2 linked regions of the Oryzias latipes genome follow. The protein of the gene in region 1 purifies or fractionates together with the protein of each later gene. This does not show direct contact. Links are inferred from orthologs where the notes say so. Each region holds a gene or a part of one and is shown in the gene's direction. Other genes may lie near its edges.

Region 1 (4,356 bases):
ATGTAGTTATTTCAAATGTAAATAACACCAATAAAACCTTTATAAATTCTATAATCTGATGTTTCTTTTTCTTTTGTGTGAAAAACCACATCCTAGTTAGATTTTTTAGTTTTTATTTGTTTTTACTCTACTTGTGTGAGAGAATTTTTTTAATCTAAATGTATCTATTTTTAACTTCTTAAGTCTGAAAATAAACACAAGTTAATAGTTGTACAAATATCAAAAAAATTGACTCTTTTAGGTTGTAATTAAATGACTTTGGGTGATTCTGTGTTAAGTAAATAAACTTGGTTTCATCTGTTTAAATCGGGTTATTTATAATAGCTATGCAATTTATTTTCTCAAGATTTTTTTGGTTTTTTTAATTTCTCTGAAGCTTAGACAAAATATTGTTAATGAATCAGGTCTATCATTAATTTGAGCCATTTCTTTCCTCTGACCAGCTGAGCCATGTAAACTCTGTAATCGCCTCATTTCTTAACTTGTTTTTTACAAGTACTAGTTTAATATTTTTACATTTATATGTAATTATCTTTACCGTCTAGTGCATAACTGAGCAAAGTGGAAAAAAACTAACCCTGAAGAAACCACAAAGTCAGATTTGGCCTGGGTTTGTTCTTTTTTATTTTTTTTCTCTTTAATTTCTAATTGTATTTTTATTTTACTGGCTGTTGTTAATTGATCCAATCAAAAAGGGAAAAACAAACAAAACATGTCATGATTTACTTTCAAAAAATATCAAATTTTTCCCACCAGCAAATGTGAAATCCTAAGAACTTCTCAAGTTCTTGCCATTTGAGCATGTTTGATTTGTGTTCTAACACTTATTTATTACTATTTCTTTACAGCCATCCAATTCACAGCTGGAGTTCTCTCAAGACTATACAAAAAAAGATTTAAGTTGGGGGGGAAAAGTAATAATTGAAGATTGCTGTAGTTCATTTAAAGTCCAGATTGTTTCTAAAAGAAATTAACTATGTGCATACTATTTTAAATGTGTGTATTGACAAAGTTCGCCGCTTGGTGGCAGTAGCGGTTCATCGTTGACTATATTTCTGACGTCAATACTGTGTGGCCACACAACCGGATGTTGGTTACTTTCCTTTTCAAATTAAATTTCACAATTGTTGTCATTATATTTTCTGTTGTTTAAAGTAAAAAAAAACAACATATTTTTGTTATATACTATTTTTTTACTGTGATGGACAGAATTTACAGCTCTTAATCCCGCCGTTTTCAGCTCAATTTTGAAAACAAAATAACGGACGTCTCTTGCGCATGTGCTAGCTTGACGGAAGTTGCGGTGTTGATGTGGTTTTGTTTGGTGAAGCTGTCGCATTTGTTTCTCCATTTGTCATGTCATTAGCTACACGTTTCCTCCTAAAATAGCCCCGCGGGCGGTTTCGCTTCTCCACCTTTGGGGAGGGTCACAGGAAAGACATTTGGGCGGAGAACAGAAGATGAAATGACAACGTCAACATTACAGGTAGGCTACTGCTCGCTAGCTAAACGCCAGCAGCTAGCCACAACTGACCCGAAAAAAAAATCGGTTTTAATGTTTTAAAGTTATATTTACTTTAATGCTAACTTTTCTTTTTGTGCTAAATAAAACACTTTGCAATGGGGCAAACGTATTCACGAAACACCTATGAGTGTTTTAGAATTGTCTGATCATGCGTATGTTCTAGCTGAACCTGATATGAATTATTAGTGGTTTTCTTTTTTTACACATTTCTTAATTTAATCTATGAAAATATAATTTCATGTAGAAATGAGAACAGTTGAACGTGGTTACTGAAAATATGTGAATGAACTGCATTCCATTATGAAGACTGAATTGTTTGCTGTCAACGTTCTAGCAAAATTCCCAACAAAGTTAAATACTATCAAATATTTCAAAATTATGTAAATATAAACATGATTTAACTGCAAAATTTGATTAAAAAAGTTAAAGACAATTGACTTCTAAATGCAGCATTAGTTAACACGTTTTAATACTGATGTTGACATTTTTGTAATAGTGACTATAAAGTTTAGGAGAAAGGTCATAAGACATTATAAAATACTTTACTCTAAAATTGGAACTAAATTAAGTAGCAATCAATTCAGACTTTTTTTTTTAAACCCAAAGTACAAGAAAATTTGGTTGTATCATAACCTAAACTGGACAATATTGTATTTTTAAATGATTTTATTGTGTAGTTTCAATGAGAGTAAGATTTTTTTAATATAATAAAAATAAGAGAAATGAGTAAAACTAAGGCCACAATCAAAAGTCCCCTGAAGGAACTGAATTTGACCTAAATGCCTAAAAATCTTCTGAAGATTTATGGAGCAGAAATGTACAGGATAAAAACAAAGTTCAGCTTTCACCCAAATATTGGCCTTTTGTCCAGAATCATGTAGCTGTTGGTCTGGAGTTTTGCTCCGTTTGCATTTTTCCATGGTTTCTGTCTTTGTTGCTGCAAATATTCAATAATAATCACCTGCAAGCCTCGTAATCAGCGGTAGAAAATTATCTAAACTTGCACTTTTTCTCAGAAAGGTTAATATCATGCATAGCTGCGTAAAGATGTGAATTATTACTGCTTTTTTGATGGCTGGAGGTTTATTTTTAACGTTTTTTGAAAACTATTTCCTGAACTCTGTGTTATTCATAGGCTAAAGTCAGACGCACAGATCATGTTATTTCCGTTTTAATTTGTTTAACCCAAAAACAAAATGTCTTTATTTCCTTTAGTTGTTATGTAACCCCATACAGATCCCAACTGTTTATAGTCTCTCAACATTGGTTACCTGTTGATTTCAAGATTTTTTTTAATTTCTGTGGTTTTATGCAAACCTGTCCACACTAAACCCACTAGAACTTCATGATTACAGAAATCTATTGGACGGGTCCAGATCCAGAAATAAAAAGAAGGATTTCAGTCTTCAAACTCATGTACCGACACTATGAAATAACTTCACATAAAAATGAAACATTTCACTTTTATTACTTTCAGGTTTATTTTTAATTCATTTTTTATGATGTTATTGAAAGTCTTTCTGGTTTATTTTTTATTTTTTTCGTCTGCAGCCACGTATGTGCTATAAAAACGTTATTGAACATGACGTACATGAAGGTTTTTAGTTTGTAAAAAACTGCTGTTGTCTTTTAGTTGCTTCTCCAGCAATGTGTGTGTTTGTAATTTGTCCTTTCACTTTGCATGTCCTTCAGAAAGCCATCGATCTTGTCACCAAAGCCACAGAGGAAGACAAGGCAAAGAACTACGAGGAGGCCCTGCGCTTGTACCAGCATGCAGTGGAATATTTCCTGCATGCCATCAAATGTAAGGATTTTGTGTAGCGGTGCTGCGGAGCGCGGCGCCACCTTTCTAACCGGATTTTTCCATTTGCGGCTCAGATGAGGCCCACAGTGACAAAGCAAAGGAGAGCATTCGAGCGAAGTGCATGCAGTACCTGGACAGAGCGGAGAAACTTAAGGACTACCTGAAGAACAAAGACAAACAAGGAAAGAAGCCCTTCAAGGAGGCACAGAGCAATGACAAGTAGGCCGTCACCGACTTCTGATGTTCTCATAAAGAAGTCCAGCTGTGCTTGAACGTTTCTGTCTTTGTGTTAAAGGAACGACAGCGACTGTGAGGGCGAAAACCCAGAGAAGAAGAAACTGCAGGAGCAGCTTATGGGTCAGTCTCTGGTATCTTAAAATAAGATTTCTCACATAAATAAATAAAAAAGTTTACAAAAGTATGTTTCTGGTTGTGAAAGGATAGTAGCATTATTTATAGATCTGCGCATTTACACACATTTTTATGTTTTCCCTCAATGAGCATGTGTGCCTCCGCCTCCCTCTGAATACAGACTGATTTAACAAATAAAAGTTCCTGAAGAAAGGATTAGTTGTTATGACTATTCATAATTGTGTTGCTGTAAATCTGCATGTCGCCTGCGCTCCTGCAGCGGTGTCACCTCCCTCGTCTTCTGTTTAGGCGCCATTGTTATGGAGAAGCCCAACGTCCGATGGAACGACGTCGCTGGACTGGAGGGAGCAAAGGAGGCGTTGAAGGAGGCTGTCATCTTGCCCATTAAATTTCCTCACCTTTTCACAGGTGACTCAGTCGGTACCGAATAAAAACGCAGATTTCAGGGCTTCATTTCAGACGCGTTGGTCACCTGTATTCTATTCCGTTTCCCTGCACCATCCTAGCCAATTATTTTAGCTTTCCAGAAATTGTGGGCGGGCTCATATAGGAATGGGCGGAGCTTCAGTCAAAGTCGTCACAATATATTTGACTTCCCAGCAAGACTATTCAAATTCAGCGACCTGATGGATAAGAGGGGTGTCTTCAATGCTCT
Region 2 (4,455 bases), on another chromosome or scaffold:
CAAAAACTAATATTTTTCTTTTAATATGAAATTTGAATGTTGTTTGTGTTAGGACAAACCAATACAGACACTTCCTGTCAGTTTTAAATGTTTATTAAAAGGAGTTATTGATCCTGAAAAGTCTGTATCAATGAATTTCTTGCTAACTTTATCCAATTGTTTTCAACCACCTCCTACTCAAACTAGTGCCATACTCTGCTGAGCTTTAAGGCAATAAAATGTTGGTATCTGTTCATGATATGCAGACTTCCAGCAGAGCATTTATCTGTAATAATAAGTTTGATGTATGTAACACTGATCATAATAAGAATTAAATAAATATTTGATTCCTGATGGAAATAAAACATTCAATAATGATTAAACTACAAGCTTGGGCCCCATTTCCAATCGCGTGAACAGATCGGGACATATCTGATCCAAAAATCGAGGTCTGAACCGAATTGTAGGGAAGGTGAATTGTTGCATTCCTAGTTAGAAGTCGCTTACCTATCCCAAACACCAAGAGGATCGTCTCCATCATACATGCGTAGCTCAGACTCAAATGTTCTGTGAACACAGGATAGTTTACATTTTTAAATAATGGAAACAAAACTATGTTCAAACTCCAAAACATTTTCAGCTGAAAATCTTTCAGATCAATAGCTGTGTTTGCAAAAGCATCCATACTGTCTCTGCTGGTTTATGGCTGATGTGGGTCCATCTTGTTGCTGACTTAAGGCTTGATGTAAGGCAGATATGTCTCTTCCCCGCCTTAGTGGTTGAATGTTTTCTTTGCTTAGCTCCCATTCCACATCACCACCTTCCGCCATAGTGGAAATGCTGGAAAAGGTGGAGAGGGCAAAAAACTCCAATCAGAAACTTTGAAATAATCACAGGATATTAAAGGTAAGCAAACCAAAGATTATGTGAATTTAATCACAACAATGGTCATTTTGCCCTTTGCTACATACATACATTTTATTTTAATCAGTTTGTGCTGCTACAGGATTTCCATAATCCACAAATATCAACAGTAGACAAAACAGTTAAGACGGGGTATTACCGTGTAAACCTACAAGCTGCAACCAACTATGCCAGATTATGTTTTCATTCTGAGATAAAACAGATTATGTTTTCATTCTGAGAATTGAAAAAAAGACAGGTTGTTGTTGTTCGAAAAGCTAGTTAGCTTAGCGTAGGGTGGGAGTGTGTAACCATGGATATTCCATCACTTTATTCGCATGCTTTAAATTAATCGTGGCCGTATTTTTAGACTCGGCAAATCAATTAGAATAAAATAAATTTTCTTCAATATAAAACATGAAATATTACTATTACTACTTACAAGCTTCTTTAGTTTTTAAGCAGGTAAATCTTGGACCGTGCAAAGCTGAAACGGTTAGCTCGCTGTTTTTTTTGAACAAGTCCCGCGAGAACACAAGGAGAAAGCTGATTGGTGGGTTGAAAATACCGGAAAAACAAAGATGACGACAAATGACGTTTTCCGGTTTACTTCCGGTATTGGTTCTAGCTACGTTCAGTAATATAATACAAGAACAGGAGGAAGCATTTTCTGTGTTTTTAATTTTATTTTTTCTTAATTTTGCAAAGTTCTTTTCACATTTAATTGCTGGTGTATCGTATGTGATAACCTCATATTTAATGAAGGGGCAGAATGGACGGTCGCTGTTATTGCTGCGCATCCAAGTTTAGTCTTTTCAAAAAAGAGGTATAGTAGTATCATGGCTAATATGAACATGACACGATTGTGTTTTGATAAATGTGTACTGAAGGCTTATTCTATATAATATTGTGTTTATAGCTGGGCTGTAAAAACTGCGGGCGATCTTTTTGCCCCAGCTGTTTGGCTTTTAGTGCTGTGGTGCCTCGCTGCGGAAACACTCAACAGAAGGTCTGCAAGCAATGTCACGGTAATCTGACAAGGTATAAATATATAAATAAAAAGTGCTGCTGAATTATGTTGATGAACTCTCCAAAGTCGAATAATCTTTTGTTTTTATTCTCTTCATCAGTGGAGAACCTCCGAGCAGTGCCGGAAGATGGTCCCCACCAGAAAATTACAAGAAGTTAGTATGTGATCAGATTAAAAGGGGGAAAATACATACATGTGGGTTTATTAAGAACACTATCTAAAGTTACTGTCTTTTACAGGCGTGTCGCCGCCCTTGAGGCCAAACAGCAGGGACAGTCTGTGAAATCTGCTGCACATGGAGGGAGCAACAAAGCGGGTCATCTACCATGTAAAGGTCTAAGTAAAGAAGATCAGATTATTGCTGAGCGTCTTCAAAGATTAAAAGAGGAGACTAGACCAAGTAGGATCTTTTTTTAATGAGCATAAATTAAACACCTATAATAGACATGAGTTTTCCTCCTATTTGTCATACTTTTTTCCCCATTTCTATAGAGCCATCTCCCTCTCAGAGTGATCTTGAGTCTCGTCTCGCTGCTCTCAAAGCACCCAGCCAGCCAGTGCCTTCCATAGAGGAAATGGAGGACCGTCTGGCTGCTCTACGGGGTCAACCACCACCATCTCAAGCTCCTCCTCCTGTGAGTTAAATCCCCACCTCTTTTATGGGTGATGGTTTATAAAATATGCAACCCAGGTAGAGTCTCAAGTATCTCATAAATAGTCCGGTAATAGTATGGTCTACCTGCTAACACATCCTTATGCTCTCGTCTGGACAGGTTCACCAGCTTCCTGATAAACGGACTCAGACTGAACAAGCTAATGATTTGATTACTCAGATGACAGAGGAAGTTTGCATTGACAACCAGCAGTTAAACCATGAACAAAGTAATGTTTTGCTTGTTTAAAAAAATAGTTTTAATTAAAAAGCAATAAAATTTACTGCCCCTACAATCTAATCATGGAAAACTGGTTTCATTCTAAATATTTTATTTTTTGTTCAAAGACATAAATAGCCATATGAATGATCTGAACAAAGGGGAAGGTGCCACATGGGATGAGAACTTAGAGGAAAATCGGCAGACGGTGAAACATTTGGAGGCGGACAAAGACCGTCTTCTCGAGGAGGCAATGCAGGAGCTGAGGCAGGAGCAACATTCCCAAGAGCAGGTCCTCCATATGGCAAAGAGGCTGGCGCAGCTCAAGGGGCAGGACCCAGAAAAAGGTGCAGGGAGCAGTTTACCAACATTTATAGTTTTATGACGGAGAAAAATGACTAGACTTTGAATTTAAAACTTTGTAACTGACATTTCTATAATACACTTTTAGTCACAATGGAGGACTTCCAGAGTCCTGACAGTGATGAAGAGACTGAAGAAGAGGCTGTGAGGAGAATCTTGAAGCAGGTAAGGCATTCACAGAAAAGCAGAGGGCATTTCACAATGCAGTTAAAACTAAACACTTACTTTGTTGCACCTTTTTGAGGACAGCATTTCATTCTGACCACAAGAGGCTGCTGTTTGGCTAAGATGTTTTTTAGTTTTTCTGACTTTCCAGCTTTCAGAAGAGGCAGCTCTTGATGAAGCTAGTGGCTACAATATACCCATGGAGCAGAGTGGCCCCAGGAACACAGAAAACAAAAAAAAGTCTAAAAAATCAGTATGTTCATTGATCAAAATTCTGTGTTTTCTTTTAAGCTGTTTGGCTGCATTTTATTTAAAACACTGCTTTCTTTTGCTGTGGCGTGTAGAGTTCGGCTCCTGCTCCTAAGAGCAGAATCTCACCTGCTGCTGTCATGCATCAGTCATCAGACAGTGAAGAAGAAGAGCTTCCATGGTGCTGCATCTGTAATCAAGACGCCAGCCTTCGTTGTCACACGTGTGACGGAAGCCTGTACTGCAACCGCTGCTTCCGGTAACTATTTCAGATTTTTAGAGCTAATATTCCTGACCAGGACTTAAAACGATGCCCTCTATGGGAAATCCTTACTCTGATATCAAGAGTGTTGATTTGAAATGCATGTTATGACCCAGATAAAATGTTGGCACGCTGCTGTACTGTTAAGCAGCGTGAATATAAAGTATTTAGTGTGATGAATTATCAATTCTCCCCTTTTCCATTATGTCCCCAGGGAAGGCCACGATAAATATGACAGAATGGAGCATCAAACTACCAAATACACAGCGCCAAAGACAAAAAAGAAGACGTGATAGTGAAACTGCTATCTTGTTTGTCTCATCAGGCGCTGTTGTTTCATGACTCTCTAGTCTTTAAAGTGTCCTATTAATGTTGCTAAAGTAGAACCTTAAAAATGTAGACACTACATTTAAATAACGCAAGGCAGATCTCACTTTAACCCATCAATTTGGAGCTCTTTGCAGGAAGAGCTTTGCATACTTTCTGTGCTTTCTGAAACCTGGTTTAACCTCAGCAATATATTTAATAGGTACCAGAAAAACCCACACCAACCTCATCCAAAAACAGCTCGGAGTGTAGAGAGTAAAAGTATGTTCACTATTGTGCCATGACCACAAAGCAACTACAAAGAG

What was found.
Region 2: the proteins of vps4a (region 1) and zfyve19 purify together in Homo sapiens (affinity purification with mass spectrometry; 3 studies listed by BioGRID and IntAct, counting the BioPlex papers as one, with this or other methods). This does not show direct contact. The link is inferred for Oryzias latipes from reciprocal best matches to the Homo sapiens genes VPS4A and ZFYVE19.

What each region holds. Positions count from the first base shown.
Region 1 is NC_019864.2:27,657,127-27,661,482, forward strand, and holds the start of vps4a (vacuolar protein sorting-associated protein 4A), read left to right. Parts: upstream 1-1,275; 5' UTR 1,276-1,465; coding exon 1,466-1,486; intron 1,487-3,217; coding exon 3,218-3,329; intron 3,330-3,403; coding exon 3,404-3,548; intron 3,549-3,624; coding exon 3,625-3,686; intron 3,687-3,989; coding exon 3,990-4,109; intron 4,110-4,356. UniProt on the Homo sapiens protein: Involved in late steps of the endosomal multivesicular bodies (MVB) pathway. Recognizes membrane-associated ESCRT-III assemblies and catalyzes their disassembly, possibly in combination with membrane fission.
Region 2 is NC_019880.2:14,826,083-14,830,537, reverse strand, and holds the start of zfyve19 (abscission/NoCut checkpoint regulator), read left to right. Parts: upstream 1-1,467; 5' UTR 1,468-1,654; coding exon 1,655-1,708; intron 1,709-1,801; coding exon 1,802-1,923; intron 1,924-2,012; coding exon 2,013-2,066; intron 2,067-2,151; coding exon 2,152-2,312; intron 2,313-2,404; coding exon 2,405-2,547; intron 2,548-2,685; coding exon 2,686-2,794; intron 2,795-2,912; coding exon 2,913-3,131; intron 3,132-3,235; coding exon 3,236-3,312; intron 3,313-3,463; coding exon 3,464-3,565; intron 3,566-3,656; coding exon 3,657-3,820; intron 3,821-4,037; coding exon 4,038-4,116; 3' UTR 4,117-4,455. Other genes in the region: bub1b (mitotic checkpoint serine/threonine-protein kinase BUB1 beta), read right to left, coding at 487-546, 667-809. UniProt on the Homo sapiens protein: Key regulator of abscission step in cytokinesis: part of the cytokinesis checkpoint, a process required to delay abscission to prevent both premature resolution of intercellular chromosome bridges and accumulation of DNA damage.